Linked DNA regions of Drosophila melanogaster. The protein of the gene in region 1 interacts with the protein of each later gene in a pairwise test. Each region holds a gene or a part of one and is shown in the gene's direction. Other genes may lie near its edges. The genes, in order: CG3081, St3, CG14464 and RhoBTB.

The links.
Region 2: the proteins of CG3081 (region 1) and St3 interact in a two-hybrid assay, tested with the Drosophila melanogaster proteins (one large-scale study listed by BioGRID).
Region 3: the proteins of CG3081 (region 1) and CG14464 interact in a two-hybrid assay, tested with the Drosophila melanogaster proteins (one large-scale study listed by BioGRID).
Region 4: the proteins of CG3081 (region 1) and RhoBTB interact in a two-hybrid assay, tested with the Drosophila melanogaster proteins (one large-scale study listed by BioGRID).

The regions. Positions count from the first base shown.
Region 1 is NC_004354.4:4,638,755-4,643,157, reverse strand, and holds CG3081 (uncharacterized protein), read left to right. Parts: upstream 1-1,995; 5' UTR 1,996-2,081; coding exon 2,082-3,833; 3' UTR 3,834-3,899; downstream 3,900-4,403. Other genes in the region: CG3062 (uncharacterized protein), read left to right, coding at 828-964, 1,016-1,325, 1,506-1,790.
Region 2 is NT_033778.4:23,681,717-23,688,522, forward strand, and holds St3 (sulfotransferase 3), read left to right. Parts: upstream 1-1,660; 5' UTR 1,661-1,680; coding exon 1,681-1,949; intron 1,950-2,012; coding exon 2,013-2,470; intron 2,471-2,531; coding exon 2,532-2,604; intron 2,605-2,657; coding exon 2,658-2,795; coding exon of another isoform or gene 2,796-2,799; exon of another isoform or gene 2,800-2,846; coding exon of another isoform or gene 2,847-2,904; exon of another isoform or gene 2,905-3,040; coding exon of another isoform or gene 3,041-3,216; intron 3,217-3,278; coding exon of another isoform or gene 3,279-3,666; exon of another isoform or gene 3,667-3,669; intron 3,670-3,759; exon of another isoform or gene 3,760-3,827; intron 3,828-4,821; coding exon 4,822-5,161; intron 5,162-5,316; coding exon 5,317-5,448; intron 5,449-5,517; coding exon 5,518-5,600; intron 5,601-5,715; coding exon 5,716-5,803; 3' UTR 5,804-6,264; downstream 6,265-6,806. Other genes in the region: St1 (sulfotransferase 1), read left to right, coding at 1-322, 387-917, 978-1,128; l(2)efl (lethal (2) essential for life), read right to left, coding at 3,041-3,216, 3,279-3,666; Pal2 (Peptidyl-alpha-hydroxyglycine-alpha-amidating lyase 2), read left to right, coding at 6,579-6,806.
Region 3 is NT_033778.4:4,827,289-4,831,116, forward strand, and holds CG14464 (uncharacterized protein), read left to right. Parts: upstream 1-1,957; 5' UTR 1,958-2,018; coding exon 2,019-2,205; intron 2,206-2,258; coding exon 2,259-2,422; 3' UTR 2,423-3,299; downstream 3,300-3,828.
Region 4 is NT_037436.4:20,374,274-20,382,284, forward strand, and holds the start of RhoBTB (Rho-related BTB domain containing), read left to right. Parts: upstream 1-1,968; 5' UTR 1,969-2,328; intron 2,329-3,468; exon of another isoform or gene 3,469-3,566; intron 3,567-4,157; 5' UTR 4,158-4,186; coding exon 4,187-4,375; intron 4,376-4,438; coding exon 4,439-4,542; intron 4,543-4,608; coding exon 4,609-4,806; intron 4,807-5,038; coding exon 5,039-5,575; intron 5,576-5,637; coding exon 5,638-5,896; intron 5,897-5,961; coding exon 5,962-6,075; intron 6,076-6,139; coding exon 6,140-6,226; intron 6,227-6,296; coding exon 6,297-6,380; intron 6,381-6,441; coding exon 6,442-6,684; intron 6,685-6,748; coding exon 6,749-7,019; intron 7,020-7,273; coding exon 7,274-7,425; coding exon of another isoform or gene 7,426-7,448; intron 7,449-7,518; coding exon of another isoform or gene 7,519-7,609; 3' UTR 7,610-8,011. Other genes in the region: Ide (insulin degrading metalloproteinase), read right to left, coding at 89-291, 342-570, 626-896, 954-1,088, 1,147-1,214.

The DNA.
Region 1 (4,403 bases):
TCACACCCACTCACAATACGGAATCAGCACCCAGTGGAACACCCACTGCAGCACCCATCGATCAAGGCCTCAATCAAGTGGTGACACTCGGAGCGCTCCGAGTATCGAGTTACCAGCGAAGGTCCATTTGCATTCCTTAATTGAAATTCGTACGCGTGGGAAGACCACGCAGCCTGAAAGCTTTGAATCTCCCAAAGTTGGATGTTGCTCCATGTTTTTTTTTTTTTTTGGAAGAGATGATCTTCCATTTAACAGATTTCACTTCTCATATTCATATTCAATTATGCCACATAGTAGTTCAATCCAATTCAATTGCAGGCATATTGCCGGGCTCACTTGCTCCTGTGCCCGCTTAGGGCTGGCTAATCCTTCTGATAAATGGTCCGGGCTTTGGATGAGATGCAGTGGCTCGTTTTTTAGCGCGCGCAGAGATGTTGGAAATTTTTAGAAAGGCAAACACAAACAAGGCATTAAGTGGCATTAGACAAATGCCTTTCTACACATGTTCCAGCGTAGAGATTACGCCGTGTAATTGGCCCCACCTCCATTCGCCCGGGGTGGGTTCCGGTTTTCGATTGACATTTGGCCACGGCTGCGGGGTGGGCTACTGCTCTGCTCTGCTCTGCTCCTTCTACAATTTTTTTTTTTTTTTTTGTTCTTTCTTTTTATCAATTGCCTTGTTTGCGCTGGGACCATAAATAAGGGCATTACTCGCAGGGGGCGTGCGCGTTTTCCTAACAGGTGTCTATCGACTCCTGGCTAATCCCATGCCCATGCCCATGCCCAGCTCCCTGACATCGAGTTCCTTACTTACTCGTTCGTTGCAGTTCGAAGGCCGATTCCAGTCGAAGCGTCTCAACAACTGGGAATATCCGCGATTCTCACCACCCCGCCCACGTGGTCTGCAGAAGAACGCCAAGGTTGTGGCGGCCAATAACGGTCACCTGCTGCCCGAAGTGATAAAGTAAGCAATTGCCAATGCCCCACAATTATACAGTTTAATTTTAATCCACAGGGAGGGCAACTCATTTGGCCAATATCGTGGAACCTACGAGCTACCGCGTCGAATAACCCGTGCCTTTTGCGCCCACTACGATGCCTGTCTGAGTGGGCGGTACAAGTTTGTTGACTTTCCGCGTGACCTGTGCAATTGTCAGCGAGAGAACCGCAGGGCACTGGCCTGCGATCAGCGGTTGACCTTGGGCCACAAGGACGATCCCTACTGGATGCGCGAACGGTGCCAGACGAAGTGCGAGGGACTACAGAAGCTGAGGGCGTTGAGCGAGCGGAGTGCGCGCTGCAATCGGGCCAAGTGCGACGTGGTGGTGAGTGGGAATCGGGGTCACCATCGGGGTCACCATCGGTGTCACCTCTTACCAATTATGTGCACCCAGATTATTGAGTTATCTGCAACCAAGCTATACATATTTTCATTTCTGGTTGCACTTTTTGCACTTTCATCCTGCACCCTGCACACTCACATTCACATTCACCTGCAACCGTAGAGCGAGAAAACCGTGAAGATGACGCCGAAGGCAATCAAGACGACGGGTGTGGCCACCGAAAAGCGGCGTCGAAAGCGCACCATAACCGCCTTTTCCAAAGGACGAACGGCATTGCATCCCAATGAGCTGACCAAGCCGATTCCATCGTCGGAGAAACCGGCGGCGACTGTCGCCACTCCCAAGGACAAGCCGAAGGACAAGCCAAAGGACAAGGAGGCGGGCAAGAAGGATAAGACGAAGGATAAGGGCAAGGAGAAAGAGCGCAAGGCGGCGAAGGGCCATTAGTAAAACTTCATTATTTTGTTCAACCGAAATTCAAATCAAATTCATTGTAACCGCAGGTTTAAAATACATTTTAAAGGGCAGCACGATTGCACTCAACACAAATCATATAGCATATATATTTTATAACTAAACCCAGGTTAAACCATCTGTTACATATGTACATAAATCATACATCATTATCATCTCCATCTCCATCTCCATCTTATCTCATCCCATTCCATTCTGCACCACCAACGCATTGCAACAAGTGAACGAACCTGAAAGCCACCTACTCCATTACTCCATCCAATCATGTCGCAAACAGCTCTCCCGGAACTGAGCTACACGCCGGGCGACCTAACAGAGCCGCAGTTCCGGCTGCCCTCGCACCAGGAGCTCCTCGACCAGAAACGCAACAGCACGGACAGCGTGCCACTTGGTCGTCTCACCTTGGACACGCGCGACACGCAGCCCATCAAGTACAGGGAGCAGCTGGGCTCGGCGGCCGGTCGTCAATTTCCGGCATTGGCAGCGGCCCAAAATCGCTATACGGATCACTTGGAGCGCAGCAGCGAGTTGAGCTTTGCGTGCCTGGAGCCGGGCAAGGATCTAATCTCATTGCCGACGGTGGGTATACGAAGCTTTGATCTCGATCCCGTATCCGTATCCGAACCCGATTTGATCAAGAAGATGCCGCTGCACTCGATCACGGAGAAGCCCAACGAGCGGTGTCCATCGCCAGTGGTGCCGGCATATGCCAATTTCGAGCTGGCCAAACGGATGCACCAGGACAATTTGGACCACCAGCCGCTGCCCGATTGCGTCGCCGATTTGGCATTCCGGCGAGCGCAAATATCCGGCGGACATGCTGGCCTGGCCCTGGAAATCGATCCCATTGCCACGGGCGTGGGTGTGAAAACGCACAATGCTGGTCCGACGCACTGCACCAAGATGAAGGTCTTTCGTCCGAAGACCGGCGGTGGCATCGTGCCACGTGCCCTCGGCAATGGCGATGCCTTTCGAGGTGTTGGCTCCGCTCCGGCCAAAAAGATGGGACCCATGGATTTGGCCATTTGTTGGGACTTCAAGCCGGCGAATCCATCGGATGAGCCGCGCCTGGCCAGGCACATAGATGGCTCCAATGACTCCGCTGGACCGGCTGTCTTCACCTGCGTGAAAACGCCTCGCGAGGAACAGTCCTCGGACTTGGGCCGATCGGCTGGCGTCTTCACCAGCACGCTTGGTGAGGCCGATTTCTTCGACAAGGACATCCTGAGGAAGCGAACGGATTTTGGCGGTGCCCGTGTGGATCGCGAGGATCCGTGCGCCTGCGACTACTCGCCACCGGCCAGACAAAGAGCACGCAGTGTCTCCCGCGATTCCAGTGCATCGCATTGCAGGCGAGGATCGGGCATCGGCGGTCCAACTGGCGGTGTGAGTTTCGGCAATTTGGCGGAGCTACCCGGTCGCGGGATGCCCGATCGTCTAGCCAAGCAGTATCAATCGTCACCCCTGCTGGGCGACAAAGCCTACCAGGCTTTGAGGGAGAAATATTTGGGTCCGGACTCTGGACAGGATTGCAGGGCCATGGATTGCCGGCCAACGGGTGGTCCACCATGCAAGCGAGACGTTCTCCTCCGGCGTCCAGCTCGACGTCTCTGCCACAAGGTGGCTCCAGCTCCCAGATGCTGTCCCCCATCGTTCGGCGGACATGGTCATCACCATGGACATGGACACGGACACGGACATTGCTTGACCAGTAAGGCGGCATTTCGCGCCGGAGTGCCCAAGCATAATGCCTCCGGTGATTTCGTGGGAATAGAACCGGGCTGCGGAGGAGGTGGCGGTGGCGGTGGTAGGGTTCTGGTGGTGCCACGCCCCCGGCAGCCGTATGCCAAAAAGAATTACGACATCGAAACCCTGGTGCCGCCCTTCCAAAGCCAAGCGGGCGGAGCGGGTCAGGGCGGCTATCCAGAGCACTGGCGATTGGCCAGTGTCTATCAGCACGCCTACAAGCCCATCGACCAGCGGCGGCGACCCCTTCTCCAAACTGTCTACAAGTAGGTGTGCTCCAGGATGGCAGTCCGCTCAAGAGAGAAATGTCCGGACAAACGGGATAATGAATAATTGAAAGCTATACAAAAATGTCCATAAGCTAAGCAAGTATATTAACTTATCAACTTAAATGTTTGCTAGTCATTAGCATTAAATTGATGCATCTGTACACACAAATTAGTCGGAAAAATCGGTCCAAGAATAGGAAATCACACGTTTATGTATAAAAAAACAAATGTTATATATATTAGAAAGCATATATATATATATATATAAAGATATATGGGCAAACATACATACATACATATATGAATAAACGTGCAAACATCAAGTAACTTAAAACTATAAACAGTGTGCAAATTAATTTGCAGAGTTCGCTTGAAAAATTAAGAAAAAAAACTTGATTAAAAACTAGGTGATGATGTGGTTTTCAGATGAAATAAGGTTTCCTTTCCTTTTTTCGCTGGTCTTGTGTGACAATCTTTGGGTGCAATTAAAAACTTAACTAGGTGCTGAAAAATCGAATTGAAAAGAAGTCAATTGGGTCAATTCAACAAGGGGAAGGCGCATTTCAAAAAT
Region 2 (6,806 bases), on another chromosome or scaffold:
GCTTCTTTGCCAAGAGCGTGCCCTTCGAGCAGATCGACAAGCTGGCCATCAGTGGCGGCTACTCCTCGATCTTCGCCAGCAGCAAGCCGTCGGTGCCGGTGGTCGGGAACTGGGAGCAGCGTTTCTGCCGCCTGGCGGACACTTTCCAGCCGGTCCTGGATCGGGTGTACGACTTTGAGGTGCGGGACGACGACGTGTGGATTGTCACGCTTCCGAAATGCGGCACCACCTGGATGCAGGAGCTGGCCTGGCTGGTGATCAATGAGTGTGATTTTGAGACGGCCAAGAGCGTGGATCTCACGCATCGATCGCCCTTCCTTGAGTGCGTTCCCAAGTCATCAGCATAGCTAAGTGAAGGATACTAATCAACCAACAATCCTCTCCAGATTCAATGGCGTGGTTCCCAATGTGCCACACGACACCATCGCCGCAGCGAATGCCCTACCATCGCCGCGCCTGATCAAGTCCCATCTGCCCGCCTGGATGCTGCCGAGGCAGATCTGGAGCAAGAGGCCCAAGATCATCTATGTGTACCGCAACCCAAAGGACGCGGCCATCTCGTACTTCCACCACTGGCGTGGAATGGTGGGCTACCAGGGCACCAAGTCGGACTTTATGCACTCCTTCATCGACGGCTATGTGAACTTCACGCCCTGCTGGCCGCACATCCTGGACTTTTGGCAGCTGCGCCACGAGCCCAACATCTTCTTCACCAGCTACGAGCGGATGAAGGGCCAGCTGGGCCAGGTTATCTCGGAGGTGGCCCAGTTCCTGGAGCGCAGTGTCAGCCAGGAGCAGATGCAGCAGATGCAGCGACACCTCTCCTTCGAGAGCATGCGCGACAATCCCGCCTGCAACCACGTCAAGGAGTTCGAGAGCATGAAGGCGGCTGCCGGCAGGGAGGTGGAGGAGTTCAGGTAAGTCTTTGGATCATGTGCTCTCCAGGAGCAGGCTAATCAGACCAATCTTCCTCGCAGGTTCGTTCGACGCGGAGTCGTGGGCAGCCACAAGGATGAGCTCACCGCCGACATCATACGGGAATTCGATCTCTGGTCCGATAGTAATCTGCGGGACTTCAAATTGAACATGGATGACTTTGCCAACTACAGCAAGTTTGCGTCCACGTAATTCTCTCTAATTGTCTTCGCTAAAGTGTTTCTTGGGTAATCTTCGTTAATAGTCTTTAAGCTGTGATGATATATGTACATATATGTTTAATAAATAATTGCTTCCCGTATACTGTATGTAACTTAATTATTTTATGAGCGAATTGTTTACGTTCCCGTGGTTGGCACTCCATTATCTACTATGACCGCATTATGTGGCATATTATCATTACCAGCAGTTACAGTCTAATAAACAAGTAACATTATAAATACCATATATATGTTTATATCTAGTTTTTAAGCTACTTTCTTTGATAAAAAAATACAAAGCTTTCCGCTCATCTGACCTACTTTATTAAAAAGAAGTGCATCTACATATATCTTGGCTGGGCTTGTTTTCATTGCTATTATCAACCGAAATGAAAGATGCGTCCCATTAACTACAGTGCAATCTTATCATCGTAGTGCGAAGAGAGAACTGAGAGAGGCGAAACTGAGAAATTTCTCTTAAATAGTTACCCAACCAGTAATATACTCCACTTCATTCCCCACAAAAGCTCAGTACGCTGTCGCTATGAATCGGGTTCAGGTCACGCCGCGGAGCTATCCCACGAACCTTATCGATAAGGACTGGGGAAATCGAAAGCTTTTTTATACGAAAGATTCGGAGAACTTTCTTCGCTTAGTCCACGATATGAAGCTCAGGGATGACGATGTCTGGATCGTAACTCTACCGAAATGCGGAACCACTTGGATGCAGGAACTGCTCTGGTTGCTCCTCAACAACTGCGATTTCGAGGGGGCGTTGGCCAAGGATCAGGAGCTGCGAACTCCGTTTCTCGAGTGAGTGTATCCGTATACGTGGGCATACATATGTATATACTTAAACCTCCATGTCTTCGTCAGGTTCGGTTACTCCGTTTTTCACGACCCGAACCGCTCATTCGGGCCTATCGAGGACCTGAAGTCCCCGCGACTGATAAAATCCCACCTTTCGCTTGCCCTCCTCCCATCAAAACTTTGGGAGGGAAAAAACAAAGTGATCTATGTGTCCCGTAACCCCCTGGACTCCTATGTCTCCCGATATTATCACGGAGTATCTTTTGGTTTCAATTACGGGAAGTCACTGCACCAGTACTTCGATGAGGTGCTGGCCTCTGATGATTTCCCCACGGAGTTCATTGAACACGCCCACGAGTTCTACCAACTGAGGAACGAGCCTTGGGTATTCTACACCAGCTTTGAAATGATGAAGAAAGATCTGCGAGGAGTGATCAACGATGTCTCCAGATTTCTGAATAAACCCATCAACGATCAGCAAATGGAGAAACTGCTAAAGCATTTGTCCTTCGCGGAAATGAAGAGTATGCAAGAAGCCTATGCCGAAACAATGATCTTATTGAGCTAAACGAATTTTCTTTTCAGAAAATCCCACCACGAATCATCTGTGGGAGTTGGCCCAAGTTCAACACGAAAATGCTGGGAAAGAAATGCACCCGTAAGAGAAAGTCCCATAGTTTTCCGAACAACCATTCACTTGTAATCCTCTAGATTCGTGAGACGTGGGGATGTCAATGGCTACAAGGACGAATTGAAGCCCGAACAAATTGAGAAGGCCAATGTCCGGATACAAGAGGTTCTTGCGAAGAACGGTGTGACTTTGGACGAACTACTGCTCCTGAAAGATCAGTAAGATACATATTGAGAATAATCAAGATAATGTTGTATCTTTTGGTTTAGCTCGGAAGTAAATAACAGCGAGAGAGGAGAGCAAATAAAGCAAGGTCAAGCTGTTTGACCTACCAAACACCTTGTTCTTCAAATGTTTATCTAAAGATTCGTTTTAATTGATATAAAATATGTAGAGTCCAATATATAAGGCACACGTAGACATAAACTAACTAACACTGAAGGCGGTACAAAAGGATTGAGTCCTAGGCGGTGGAGGTCTCCACCTTCTTGGCGTTGTCCTCCTTGGAGGAGGGACCAGTCTGTGTGATCTGCACAAGGCGTTCAGTCTGCGGAGGAGGCAGCGCCTTCATTGGCGCCTTGATGGTCAGCAGGCCATCGGAGGAGAGGGACGATGTGACCGTGTCGGGGTTGACATCACCTAGTGGAAGGATCATACACGTTTAGCATACTTCCTATTTTGTTGATGGAATTCGGACTCACTTGGCAGCTGGTAGCGTCTGGAGAACTGGCGGGAGACATATCCGTGCTCGTCCTGCTTCTCCTCATGCTTTCCCTCCACGATGACGAACTTGTCGGCCACCTTGACGGTGATCTCGGATGGCGAGAACTGCTGCACATCCAGAATGACCTCGAACTTCTCGCTGTCGATGTTGAGGGTGGAACCGGACTCCTGCTTCTGCAGGCTGTTCGTGTGCCAGGGGCGCAGGTATCCCGATCGCAGCACTGTGGGGCGGGAGTTCCACACGGAGGACATGAGGTCATCCCTCTTCAGTCCCTGACCGAAGTGCTGGTCCAAGAGGCGCGAGGTGCGCATTGGAAAGTCGAGCTCATCCCACCAGTCACGGAACATCAGTGGCACTACGGACATCTGCTTTGATCAAGAAACGAGACGATAGTGAGCTAATCACTTCACTTCTTCACTGTTCAATAAATTCCGCGTTGGCTTGGTCCTTCCTCGTACCTTTTTAGATTCAATTCACTTGGATAAACGCGTCTGCTTCGATTCGCGGCTGCTGCGATTTTGATGGAGCTCCTCGAGCACTCACACGATTTTATACCCTCAACAGATTGTTTACATCTTCCCCCACGGGCTAAAAATATGAAAATTTATTTCCCATCTAAATTTAAACGAGCGTCATTCTAGAGAACATTCTGAACCTATATATGCCAAACACATATCTTTGGTGCGAATCTGCGAGCGATTTCAGCCTGTTTTGTTTGTTACCGTGGGAGTCGTGGGATTTGAAGACTCAGACTCAGCCTGTGATTACGATGATGGTGACCCAAAGAAGATTCCATTAGTCACTGCTCAGACAGGCCTTTTTCGGAGTTCAAATGATAGTGTTTCCGATTGTTTGTTCCAGAAGCAACACACATATGTATGTATGCAGAGTATTAAAAAGCAAGCCTACACAAATTCCCGCAGTTTGTATGCAAATTCTATTCTGTATAATATTTTTTCGAAAACCGAAAATCCAAAGTGCAAAATGTGTTCTGGAAAATGCCAGAAGAATTTCTCGACACTTTTACGCCCCCTTTACTCTTTAGATATATAGGAATTTTCATAATTTTCTACCTGTTGAGAGTGTTGATTTGACGCGGCTAATATAAAAATACTTTGGCCACTAAATGACTTTATGAACTATTTTAAGCATCTGCCACTTTTTCTTATTTCTCGCTTTTCCTCTGCTGAGTCATGTCGCGTGCGTTTTCTATCAGACGAAAGAGATGACGTCGCTCAAAACAAAGGAATTTTCAAGCATTGTTTTGAAAATTATACCAGCAATTTGCTTGAATTAGTAGCTCATCAATCATAAAGTTTTACTTCTTAAAATATATCATCGCGAACATATACTATATCAAAAACAAAGTGCCGCCCTCTAGTGTTCATATCTAATTTACCAGTGATGCAAGTACAAGTTCAGCTAGTTACAAACAAGTATCTTCTTTTCATTTGCTGCACCTGTTAAAATGGTACATTTTCATACAATCTCATATATGTTTTCTGTTCCTAACATTTTAGGGACTGGCCCTGTAGTGGATTGTGTACCCAACACAGCCAAACAAACAGTGAGGCAATCACCCTTCGAAATGGGCCAAAAGCACACCAACACCAGTGCAGCAGTGCATGCACTCGATGGCTGTGTGTGCGTGTGAAAGTAGTGAAAGCTGAAAGCCGAGGGCGAACGGGGCCAATACTTATGCTTATGCAAGGCAGCCGAGATGCCGAGATGCCGACGCCACCGCCCCAAAGGGAGGCCAAAAACGGAAAACAGGCGACATTCATCGCAGGACGTGAAGTGTTCACTGTACTTTGGGAGCGGAGGATAAGTCAAGACGTCAACAGAGGAAGCTGTACGATGGTGAGCTCCAAAAATAAACAAAAATCACAGGAGTGCAACTCCTAGCTCCTAAAGGTGTTCACGAGTATGCAGTGGAAAGTAGTTGTAGTAGTGCTTTCGGAGGCACTTTGGGGTTATATGTCGGATTGGGTTTCACTTTCTTCGCTGCATTACAGTTCGCCCCCCACTCGCTGCCCGTGACGTCACGACTGTTGCTTCTGGTGGTGACACTGCTCTTCTGCCCCGTGCAGGCGCATCTCTCGAAGCGAAGCTACTCGGATCAGAGTGTCCACGGCTACATGACCGAGGTGCCCCAAAGGATAACAGGTGGTACATAGTGGCAGCGAGATAACCCTTTCGTTTCCAATGCATTCTAGCGCACCTGCTGGTGGAACGAGGTGTGTAAGGAGGAGTTCCAGAGCCTCTTCCGCTGCAAGTGCCCCCAGTTCTCCTACTGCCGGTAAGTTTCCGTTTCCGGCCGAGTGCCCGGAATGCAATGCGACGGGGGAAACCGAAACCGAATTAGATTTGCTTCCCCCGATTCGGTTTTATGCAATTACTTTCGCATTTCCCAGCTCGCCGGGACGCTACTACAATGCCTACTGCTCGATGACGGATACCGGTTATATTTGGACCCAGCCGAACTGGGATTGGGGGGCGTAGGATGAAGCCGCTCCGGACTTTGCCCCCGCCACGCCCCCTCACCAACAACACAGCTCGCTGTGACGTCAAACACACTGACTGCCGACCAAACGCCTCCGCAAGCCAAACGAAAATTATTCCAGGAGGATACCCACTTGGAGCCTCCTGCTCAGCCTCCAAAAATACTCTAGTGGAGATGGGCTAGTCTCCCTCGTTGTTATCGCACCTCGCGCTGACTAAAAAGTACCAAGTGTCGCGTTACTTTTCGCACGCACTGTTTCCGCGCTGCTGTTGGAAAATCAATATAGGCTTTCCAATTCACGACGGCTTGTGGCAGGGCCACAGTGAAACCGAAACGACTAGTTCTGCACGTTTTTAAGTTACATTAAAAGAAACCATAAGATGTTAAATTTAATAATATTTATATTTATACGTTCCTAGCACTTTTTTAATAAATTTATTCGAGACTAGAGTGCAACCTTTTTGAACTGTCTTGTAAGATAAAGAAATGATCTCATTGGAATGAATTTTCCACTGGACTGACTATGTTCGATGATTTGCCCCACTGTGCAGGACCAAGGCGCAGGCGTCGCAGTGAAAGCGAAAATCGAACAGCGTGGGAGTGCGTGTGCGAGTGTGTGTGTGTGTGTGTGTCTGGAGCAGAGTCAGTTAATCTATTGCCAGCTCGACATATAGACACCGCCAACAGATGTTGGCAGTGAGGAAAATCGAGTGATAGAAGCCAGAACCGAGTCGCCGTTGTTTTGGGTGAAGAAAATCGCAGGACTTCCAGAAAATGTCGCGTCTCCTGTTCGTGGCGCTGCTAGCCATAAGCTTGGGATATGTGGCGTCCAGCAGCAGCAACCACCTGCCAGCGGGCTTGGCCATGGACCTGGGACCAGGTGTCAACCTCAACGAGCGCTTCTTCGACCAGGTGCGGGCGCTCATCAAGCGGAGGCTCCAGGAGAAGGGGCTCGCGAAGCCGGAACAGCCAGAGCTGGCAATGCCACTGACCGACGATGAT
Region 3 (3,828 bases), on another chromosome or scaffold:
GAGATTTCACTGTAATTCCTTGAATCCAATTGGTTACCTTTTTAATGGAGAGGAATCACAATAAATAGACAGGCTTAACTCGTTAAAGATCGTAGAGCAGTTAGCATTCGTTTAGAATGGGACACTTACATTTGGCACCGTTTAAGAGTATGGATGTTCGGAATGAGGTAACTTGGAACACTTCGTTTGAAAAAACTTTTCAAATGCCTGATCCGATGGTACCGTGGTATTTAAAAAAAATAGCGAGAACGGTTAGAAATTGTTTCGCGAACTGGAACGTACAGTACATTAGTTAATCTAACACTGAGCATTGAGCACAGTAAAATTTTACCGATTTTAAAAGGATAGACCGTTATTTTTAAATTTTGTATGAAGGCTGAACTTTACATTTCTTAGGTCTGTCAATTCTTTCGTAAACTAAAGAGTCTTGTGAGAGATGGACGGAAAGTAAATCGGAACACAAGAGCTTAAAATCAAGAGGGAATGCTATACTCGAGTTCCCCGACCATCAGATACCCGTTATTCAGCTAGTGCGTAAAAGTGTTTTTGCAAATAGATTAGATTTACAAGTATAATAAAAATGTGAAAAAATATCAACACATTTTTCAAAAGTATGGGTGTGACAGTTTGGTTCAGTTTGAGGCATTAGTCTTGCGAAAACAATGAATTCTTTTGGTTTGCTGCTCTGATTTCTCTTTTATTATGGTATTATGTCGATTGTCATCTCGAAATTATGATGATATTGATCTTTCGGTTCCGGACAAAAAAAACATTTTCAGTACATGTTACAAGACATAGGATCCAATAATCGACCAATAGAAAAAGACTTCTTAAATTATGAAAAAAATCCAACTATTTTTCAAAAATGTCGGCGAAATTAGAAAATTACAAGACTAATTAAATTTAAACAAACGCGGCACTGTATACAAAATTATAAAAAATTTAAAAATTTGGGCGTGGCAGTTTTGGTCTGTTTTAGGGAGTTTGAGTGCATAAATATTTTCAGCATAAACATATTTGGCCAATCCATTGAAAATTACAAGACTTATAAAATTATGAAGAAATATCCCAAAAAATGTGCAGGTGGCAGTTTTCGGGAGGTTTAAGGGCTTCAGAGTGGGCGCGGCAATAAGTTTTTTGGCAAATCAATAGAAATTAATAAAAATGTAAATAAATATCAAAGCATTTTGCAAAAGTGTAGGCGTGGCAGTTTTGAGCTGTTAATGGGCGTTGGAGTGGCAACAAACTTTGCGCTGAGTCTATGTCTCTAGAATCTATATTCTTAATCTCAACTTTCTACCTTTTATAGCGCCTGAAATCAAGACGTTCATCGGCAGACGGACATGCCCATCTCGAATCGACTTCAATAGAATATATGTACATATGTATGTACAATATATACTCTAAATGGTCGGAAACGCTTCCTTGTGCCTGTTACAAGCTTTTAGTAAATCTAGGATATCCTTCTACTTTACGAGTAACGGGTATAAAAATTAAGGACACAGTCGCATGTAGTTTAAATGGTTGGTTTGGTATTTTGATATGCTTGGTACGTTTGCTGATATAATTAATTGATTTCTGTTGCTTCAGGTATCCCCGAATGCTGTTCCTAAAACAACCTCAATATATGATGCGATTCCTATTACTTAAAATACTTATTTACTTCAAATAATCTGATATCAATTTTTGAATAACGTTCTTTGCCCTTATAAAGTTTTTAATTAAATTAATATTTTTCAAACAAAATAGATTTTGGTTATTCAAAAAAATATGATTGCGCAGTTATCTTAATGTCCAGTTAAATGTTGAGGCAGAATAATCTAACGAATATACTGTAATTATAATTGATTAAGTCAGTGACATAACGTGGCATAATCAGAAGCACAAGTGCAGTGTAAAGACCCTATAAATAATAATATGGCAGTGTGTGCACACTATTAGTGGACACCAATAGCGTGGGTTAAATTGATTTTTGAAAGGAGGCCATGCACTTTAGTATAACAAATTCTCGCCAAGATATGAAGCCGTATTTAGATTCAGATTATTCCATCAGTCGCAATTTGCGTCAGAGACATAGAAAAAAAGGAGTTTCTAACGAATACTCAAATTATTTAGATTCCGAAAATAAAAAAAAAGGCAGAAAGAAATGTCAAAATAGCGCATATGATGAATACGGAAATATTCGCTCAAACGGTCTGGACATATGTAAGTACAAATCACTCCTTACGTGGTTGTTATTAATAAAACACGTAATTCAGGCGACTGTATGAATCAAGAATGTGATGGTTGCTGGTATAATTGCCGAAGTTGTGGCTCTACCAGGTGTGGTCCCCAATGTCGCTCGAATCGAAAGTTTTTTTATGAGGACATAACATATGACGGTAAAGATTTAAATATTCAAAATAAATATATACCAAGATAAAGTTAAGCAAATCACATGTATTAATTAAATATTTGTAACTTAATATAAGTATTAATGAACAGCCAAACGAGCATTAAACTATCATTCAGACGAAATACATCACATATAACAATTCTTAACAAAGTTATTGCTTCAGAAAAATACATTATGTGCTAATTGAAAGGAAATGATTCCAAAAATAAAGTAAATTCTTCAGCAGCTATGGTGAAGACTTATTGTACTTGTACTTATTTTGCGTGCTTTATCAATTGTTATACACTTTTATTATTGCTACCGTATAAGTATAAGTACATTTTTGATGGTATAATAATTAGTCGACTGTAAAAACAGTTATACAAAGGTGAAAGATCAAAATAGGGCGGTTCGATTCGCGAAATGGTGCGAGATTGTCCTCTGCATAGGACCGCTTGCAAGAGATAGTAGAATAGTACGTCGTGCCAAAGGTGCTGATAACCGAACACGGAGTTAAGTTAATAAGCAAGGCGTTCAAGAGCTTCAAGCGTATAGGAGCTGGGGAGCGACACAATCTAACGGCTTCATACAACCCACAGGAGAACCCGACGAAAAGCGCCAATAGTACCGTGATGAAATTAAGGGAAATGTGCACGCTGGTCCGGTGAAGTATAAAATCTCACCGTCACCGGTGAACAAAAGACACTAGAATAACAAGATGCGTAACGCCATACGATTTTTTGGCACACGATTTTTTCGCCGTGGCTCTAGAGGTGGCTCCAGGCTCTCTCGAATTTTTGTTCGAGAGCGAGAGAGCGCATACAGGGATAGCAGACAACTGTATGTGTGCACACATATGCTCATGCATTGTAAATTTGACAAAATATGCCCTTCACCTTCAAAGTTCTTTGACTTTAAATCTATATTATTTTTGATCAATTGGCACCATGCGAAAAATTCTTGTTTTGCATTGCCTTAACGTTATTATTATTTGAAAATAGAATAGAAATAGCCAAATCTATGTACATATTATCACAAAAATAAATTTCAAAAATGACTTTATGTAAGAATATTGGTCATTAGAGTATTCATCTTGAGGCGTGTGAAAAATTAATAAGGCAATGATTGTTGAATGCTTGTGTCCGCACTTCGTGCCTCAAGATATGACCAAAACAAAGACACTAGAATAATTCTAGTGTCTTTGATGTGACTTGTTGTTGCGATAAATGCAGATCGGTAATTTTAAAAGAAATCGAGCATTTAACAGCTCCATCAGAGCTTTTTATACATGAGAAAAACTACTCAATAGAATCCGACTTTGGGAAATTAAAGGCACCATCTGATTTATTTTTTAATATTTGCAAAATACACATTAAAGCTTTCGAAAATATTTTTAAAAATAATAAAAAACAAATGTGTATAAAAAAATTTATTGTTGAGCAATGCATTAAGTG
Region 4 (8,011 bases), on another chromosome or scaffold:
TATAATTAAACAAGAGGTTCAGTGGGCTGGCCAGAAAGGAATCCTCTGATTGATCCGTAGCCACAGCGCAGTGGTACCTTAAACTTACGCCTGACTTGTAGAACTGCGTCAAATCGTCTGTGGTAAAGCTTATCGTCAGCGATCGGATGTCTTTGATAGGCACTATTTTCACCTTTTGTCCATAGCGCTCCTCGGCGTAGGGGTGGCGTGGCCAACCTGGAACCTTGACGTTTTTGTTCTCTATTTCGGAGAACTTCTCCAATACCATGCCCTCCAGTTCGTCCAGCGATTCTGTCAGAGATTGATTACTTGCTGGCAGAAACGGCTATACTAAAACAAACCTTTTCCAATGACAGCCAGGCACATTATGTTGGCGGAGTACCACTGCTTGTGAAACTTTAGCAGCTCATCCCGCACATCAATGTTCTTGGACTTGGGTATTTCGGATAGGGTGGTCTTGTTGCCGCTGCCGAACTTGCTGTAGGCATGGTCAGGCTTTGCCAGGTGGCGGTTCACCTGCTTGATGCGCCACAGATCGCTGGGCAGGTTTTTCTCGTGCTCAGAGTTTACCTGCAATGACAGCGTCCTATTTCTGTCAGAAATTTTAATGAATGCTTTCACATACCGCATTGATTTCCCGCTCAGTTGCACTGGGCGTGAACAAGGGGGCTATGAAGAACTGCGCGAAGCGATCTAAGGCTCCATCTAACTTGTCCGGCGCCACGTGAAAGTGGTACTTGGTCATCAGGGGATAGGTGGCGGCGTTGCTGCTTCCGCCGCTCTGCGAAAGGTATGTGGTGTAGCCATTCTCATGCGGATACTTCTCGGTGCCGAGGAACAGCATGTGCTCGCAAAAGTGGGCCAATCCAGGCAGGTTCGTGGGATCAGACATGTGGCTGCCATGGGTATACTCATTAAAAACAAACATTGAGTGAAGATTTGATCTTATTTACCCCACTTGCACGGACAGCGCTGCCGCCGAGACATCTGTGTTGGGATCGCTGATGAGCAGGACCTTTAGTCCATTTTCTAGTTGCAATCCGCGGTAGTCGCGTGTGTCCTGCAGCGACTTTTCAATGTTGTTCAGCCTATAAACGACGAACCATTGCCTTTCGACGACCTCTAAGATGCGTAACGTGCACTTACCTCAATATGGGCTCCATGCTGTCTGGCTTCCTAGTTGCGGACTTTTGCGAGCTTTCGGCTATTGTCATCTTGGGTTTTATAAGCGTGCCAATCGTTCGATGTGTTACTGAAATGCTGGCCCTCAACGCACTTGACCTGTGCGAAATAAATGCGATTTAGTGGTGCCCGTTAGCGGAAATTTGTTTAATTGCTGCCAACCGTCGACCAAAAACCGCTGTTAAGGCAAAAATCGATTTTCTGCACGTAAGATACATTGAGTTTGTGAAATACTCTTGACGACGCTACTCCGGCTTTACGTAGCGCGCACAAGAAATCTTAGAGTGGGAGGAGTAGATTTCCAAGCCGGTCGGTTACACGTTCAATCAATTTTAATCGCTTTTTGGACCGAAAAATAAATTCTAACTAGTTTCGCAACAACTAAAATAGCAAACAATCATCTGTTCGCAGAGCTGCCAACTCACCGCGCACGCAGAACTAGTTTAATATGTTGCCAGATCGTTTATTTTGTGAGTGGTTCCAGATTTGAAATTCCCAATTGGAGAAATTTTACAAAGTGGTAGGCCATATTTTCAAATACGAAAGACTTAATAAGTTTAAAGTGATGATTTTTAATAGTTCTAATGTAACTTTGGACTAAAGTAAGCTGCATATTCACCTTACCTAGGATAGATGGCGATTTCAAAATGTATTTCAAATGCTTGAAATTTTTCCAACGACCATACAATAAATATTGGGCAACCCTGATAACAGTCATTATAAAAATAAATATTCCGTGAATTCCCGTTCTCCGTCAATCTGGCAGTGCTCCGCGCCCAACCGCCGCCGTTTTCCAACACTGGCCGGTTGCCGTCAAAGCGCGTAGAAGAATTGCGGGCTGTAACTGCAATTTATTATTTTTTAATTTCATTTATAGTGCACCTGGTCAGCGAGCACTGGCTCATCCGCAGCCATCCGTCGGCAACCAGCTCGCAGCGATGTTAAACTTGTGCCAGCCGTAAAGATTTCGCGTGTTTGCGAACCACAAACTGCGTCGCCATCGGTGTGTGGGTGCAGAAATAAATGCAAATTGTTGTAAAATGCCGTGCTTTGGTGTGCGTGTTGATAAGTGCAATACGCAAAAGTAAGAACATTGAGGCAAATCCGTGCAATTCGTGCAATCCGTGGGATCAGGCGTTTTCAGAGGTGAGTGCTGCAGTGCTACGTCCGCGGAGATTTATGAGTTCGGGAATTCTGTGCTCTCCCCTTCGGCCAGCAGTCGAAGAATTAGGTTCTAATCAGGTTTTAATTGTTTACCCACCAACATGCGTTTTCCTCGAGAAAAAGTGCAAGTGTTCAACGATTTTTCTCCCCTAAATGGGTCAAGTTTGCCGGAATGTCGAGTCCGAACTTCAAGATCCCCTCCTAAAAGTCCCTTCTGTGCCTCCTTGTGTGCGAGTCTGAATGTGTGTGTGGTTTGGTAACGGTATTTGTGGCCGTTTTGCAATGGCACGAGAAAATCAATAAGCTGGCAAAATTGAAGAAAGGAGACTTCCCAGACATGGCAAAACAGCGCAGAGTTTGTTAATAATGCTAATATGCTGGCGTGTTCTGCGAATTCTCGCGAATCAAAATGTCTAATTAAACCACAGGTTCACACCTCGCATGAGAAATAAATTGGAACCAGTCCCTAAATAAACTTTGTTTTTATTTCCCAAGATTATGGTTGGTGCAAATATTTTACAATGAAAACTAAGAACATACCTTTTAAAAACTAAAAAATACGATCTTTCCATTTTCAAAATACCTGATATCTTCAAAAACTAACAGTTGTTTACCTTCACAACGTCTTCTTTCTTTGTTTCTTTGTTTTTGCTTCACTTTGCTTAAGACTGGGCACTTAAATAATATATTTTAAAAATATTTCTACAAGGAAATAATAAAAATAAAAACGGTATTTTATAGTAGTTATATCAGACATTAATTTTTCAATATTTGAAGAATATTCTTCCCTCTTTAACCTTCATAAAGTCAATTCAAATGGCTCTAAATAGATTGAACACATAAATTATAGAAAATCAAAGCAAAAGTGGAACCGATTGCCATGTATTCCAGAGGTCAACGATCCACAATATTGACAGTAACTTAAAGTCTTCGCACGAACAAAAGACTTTCCTGTGGAGAACAACGATCGCTTCTGGCGACCACTTGAAGTACTTTCAATTGCATGGTTATTGTTTTGGGTTTAAAGCGCGTCCCAAAATAGACAGACTGCAGCTCGTCGAGAAGATCGGACAATGGATTGCCATGAAGCGTGGGCCACGCAGGAAGAAGTGTGCTCATTGCGACCGGAGGATTGAAGGCAGATATATTTTTAGTGCAGCCCAATTAAGTTCAATTAGAGGTTCAAAGAGAGAGAGCGAGCTTATCGCTCCGTATCCGAGGTACTTACTCCAACTTCCTCCGCGACAAGTGGATCAAGTGGGGGTCAATGAATTGGCTGGTTTTATAGCCTCCGTTTGCGGGATCCAATAGATTTCTAAGTAAATGATACGAAGCTGGTATCTGATTTCACTATAGTTATTTTCACAGTGCGCAGCGAGTAAACAAACAAAATTGCCTATTGGCGTAGATCAGTTATTCTGGCTTTACGTATAACTGAACGTAGAAGTGAATTTTCCCAGTGCGTAGATTATTTCAAACTATGTATTTCTATTTTGGGAAGCACTTAGGTATCTAGATTAAAATCAAATTAATCACGTGATGAAACCATTTTGCCTTCACACAAAACGTTAATGCAGACGACACTTTGTGTAACTTAGTAATTAGCAGGTCGATTGTTAGTCGAGAATTTAGCATCTGCTTATCAGAACTGAAAAACATTAAGGCAGCTATTCTACGTAGTTCACTTATTTATATTAGAAGGGGTGTCAGCAGTTTATTTTATTTTCAATATTTTCATTTATGTATGTTTTCCTCAGGAGAGACCACATTTTATTAAATCACACAAAAATCCAATACTATTTTCATTTCAGATTCCATAAGCTGGTTCTGCTATTTGTGCATGCCCAAAATGGACAACGAGCAGCCGCATCAAGAGCTAGTGAAGTGCGTCCTGGTGGGGGACACGGCCGTGGGCAAGACGCGACTGATCTGCGCGAGGGCCTGCAACAAACACGTCTCGCTATCTCAGCTCCTCTCTACGCACGTGCCGACCGTGTGGGCCATTGACCAGTATCGCATATATAAGGATGTGGGTTACCATTCTCTCAAGAGTCATAGTTATTGCATTTAACCGAATCCATATACATTAAAGGTACTCGAGCGATCATGGGAGGTGGTCGATGGAGTGAATGTCTCACTTCGCCTATGGGACACATTTGGTGACCACGACAAGGATCGGCGCTTCGCATACGGCAGGTGTGTAGAGCTCATGTAGCAGCATTTTCGCCATACGAATCAATAAGATGCCTTCTTGACCTACAGATCCGATGTGGTGCTGCTGTGCTTTTCCATTGCCAGTCCGATTTCCCTGCGCAACTGCAAGATGATGTGGTATCCGGAAATTCGCCGCTTTTGTCCGGATGTTCCCGTCATTCTAGTTGGCTGCAAGAACGACCTGCGCTACATGTATCGCGACGAGAACTATCTCTCGTATTTCGGCGAGAAGGGAACCTTTGTTCGGTATGCATAGCTAGCAGGTTTCAGCCGGTTTTGAGTGGCTTTCACTTTTTAATGTTGTTCTTTAATCAAATCAATTCAATTATTCACCATAATTTAATTATATTTAGAACACACGAAAGATATAATTCAATGTTTAGCCCACTATAGCAAATTAATCTGTTTATATGTTCAGAGATATTCTATTTAATTGGATTAAATTAAAGGCAATCATTACTATAATCTTTTTTTAAAGAGCCGCGTTGAAGAGTGACCTGGTTATGCCGGATGAGGCGCGTGCCGTCGCCAAAGAGCTAGGAGTGGCGTACTACGAGACCAGTGTTTTCACATACTTTGGGGTGAACGAGGTGTTTGAAAACGCCATCCGATCCGCGTTGATTGCACGCCGACAGCAGCGCTTCTGGATGACAAACCTGAAGAAGGTGCAGAAGCCCCTGCTGCAGGCGCCGTTCCGGCCACCGAAGCCACCACCACCGGAGGTCACCGTCATGGTCGGCAACTATCGGCAGGACATCTACAACATGTTCCTGTCGCAGGCCTACACCGACCTCGTCCTGGTCGGGGCGGGTGGCACCAAGTTCGCCGTGCACAGGTTCATGCTAGCCGCCGCGTCCAGCATCTTCCAGCGCCTGCTTAGCACTGAGCTGACTGATATGGGCGGGCGGAGCAGCAGCGAATCTAGCATGGTCAGCTCAACATTCGGGGAGGCCACCATTGCGGACTTTAACGATGACACGGAGGCCCTGATCCGCTACGAATCACGCACACAACGGTGGGTGCTGCCTCCCGATTGCATTGAGCCCATTTGACTTTGAATACATTTTGCACCCACAGAATGTGGGAACACTTGAAGCGCCGCTCCAGCTACCAGGCGTTGCCTCTCATGGAGTCTAAGCGGTCCAACGATTTGTACAGGGAGCTGCATCATCCGGTCCTGCAGAGCATTCGCCTGGTGCACGTGGAAAACCATCGGGGTGTAAATGGTCTGCAGACGATTGTCACCCTTAGCAAACTTATCTCTCCGCAAGCTCTGCACCAGTGCCTGAGATTTATTTATACCGGTACCATTGACAAGGATTGCGATAATATCGAGGTAGGAAATGTTTCAATGTATTCTGTGTTAAGTTTGACCTACTAATATATTGTTAATTCTCACAGGAAATTCGAGAAGCTGCCGATCTATTAGAACTGCCGCAACTGACTCAGCTACTTTCCAGGCCTCAAACCGTTATGGAGAACTCCAGCGATGAGCCAAATCCGCACATTTGCCTGGTGAGCGCATTGATGTCATGATATCTATTTTATGATCCTAACCATTTTCTGTTACATACATTAGCGCATCAAAGAAAGCATGGAACGGCATTGCATTGGTGACGGGTGCTTCAGTGATGTCACCTTTGAATTGGACGATGGCTTAATGAAGGTACATACATATGTCTGTTGAATTACTATATGAAGCACAATCGTTTACACTTACCTTTGCTGCATTGCAGGCACACCGCGCTGTGTTGGTTGGTCGTTGTGATGTCATGCGCGCAATGTTGTTAGGCGACTTTCGCGAGGCTCATTCCAATGTGGTAGGAACGGGCACAATACCCCTTAACTAAGGACAGTTGTCATAAATTTCCTTTACCTTAGATCGTATTCCCTGGCGTTACCATTTACACATTCCACAAGCTGCTGTGCTATTTGTACACAGACCAGATTCCGCCAATCTCGGCCGTCAAGTGCCTCAATCTGCTGGAGCTGGCCAATAGACTCTGCCTGCCGCGGCTGCTCAACCTGGTTGAATGCCGCGTTATTGAAGATCTCACTCTGATTTCTCAGAACGAAACCAATGAAACGGTGGATCACTGTCTAAAGCTGCTCGAGCCAGTGAAGGTACACATAGAGAGATCAGTTAAAAATGATATACCGAAATTCAATACTTTTCTTTTTTTTTCAGCTGCACAACGCACATCAATTGGCCGAGTGGTGCATGTCATACCTGTGCGTCAATTACAACCTTATTTGTAAGTTTTCACTCAAGGGCCTAAAGGCGCTACACCAGGATAATCAGGAGTACTTGCGCGAGCACCGATGGCCTCCAGTCTGGTATCTGAAAGACTATGATTACTATCAGCGATGCCTGAACGAGCTGAACAAGGAGCTTAAGCTAAAGACTTCGAGGCGGGAATCGCCTAGCGATGACGAGGGCTGTCTGTGCTTTACGGGCGGTAAGTGTTGCTACATTTACGGAACTATCTGCTCCACATCCCACCACACTTAACATCCCAGTCCAATACTCCAGTCGGAGGATCAGCTCAGGTTTTAGTTTCAGCTAGCTTTAGAGGACAATGTATGTATCATGACGGCGGTTTGTATTCGTAGCTAGGTGTCTCGTTATTGTTTTCCTTTCCTGTTGATTTCCTTGCTCATTTACAACGACAACGCCATCATCATAATATTAATGTCCGAAATTTGGTCAAAGTATTCTCTTGCTGGCTGTTAGGTAAATCGAAGCGAAGCGCTGATGTGAGTGGAACCACGGATAACAGCAACGCAGATAATCAGATCTTCAACAGCGCCGGCAACTCGCTCAACCACATTGATCTGGAGGCGGACATGGACCTGAATCTCTGACACCCAGCCCTAGGGCAAGGAAGGTGTGTTGATATTAATGTCAAAGTAAGGATTCTTCGATATTTATGATTTACTTCGATACTTTGATTCCAGATCACTGCGCTTCATTGTGATCCTGCCGGTCCTGATCTGTTTTATCTGTACGATTTTAAGTATTTTGATACTTTTCCAAATCCATACATAACAAACCTCAAGGGCACGATTTAGAGTGGTCGGGGAGATAAGGGTTGGAAATGGAGGGGGCGTGGCGCGTCTGCTTTTGACATTACGCAATATATAGAGCGCAAATTTGCCTTAGTGATTAACGATTAATAAGTCCAACGTAGCTCGACCCAGAACAAGGGAGCATACTGCAGAGTGCTTCGGATTTCTTATATTTATACGCCTATATAAAACGCAAAGCATAGACGAGTATGTATGCACATGCACCTCGGCGCTGCGAAGCATTTCGCTGTATTGCCTTACGATATATCGGTGTACACTCAACTTGTTCTGCACGATCCCTCCCATGGAATGTGGACAGCCGAAGGACGCAGACATGTGTATATCCATATATTTGTACCTTTACCTAAGACATGTATGTATG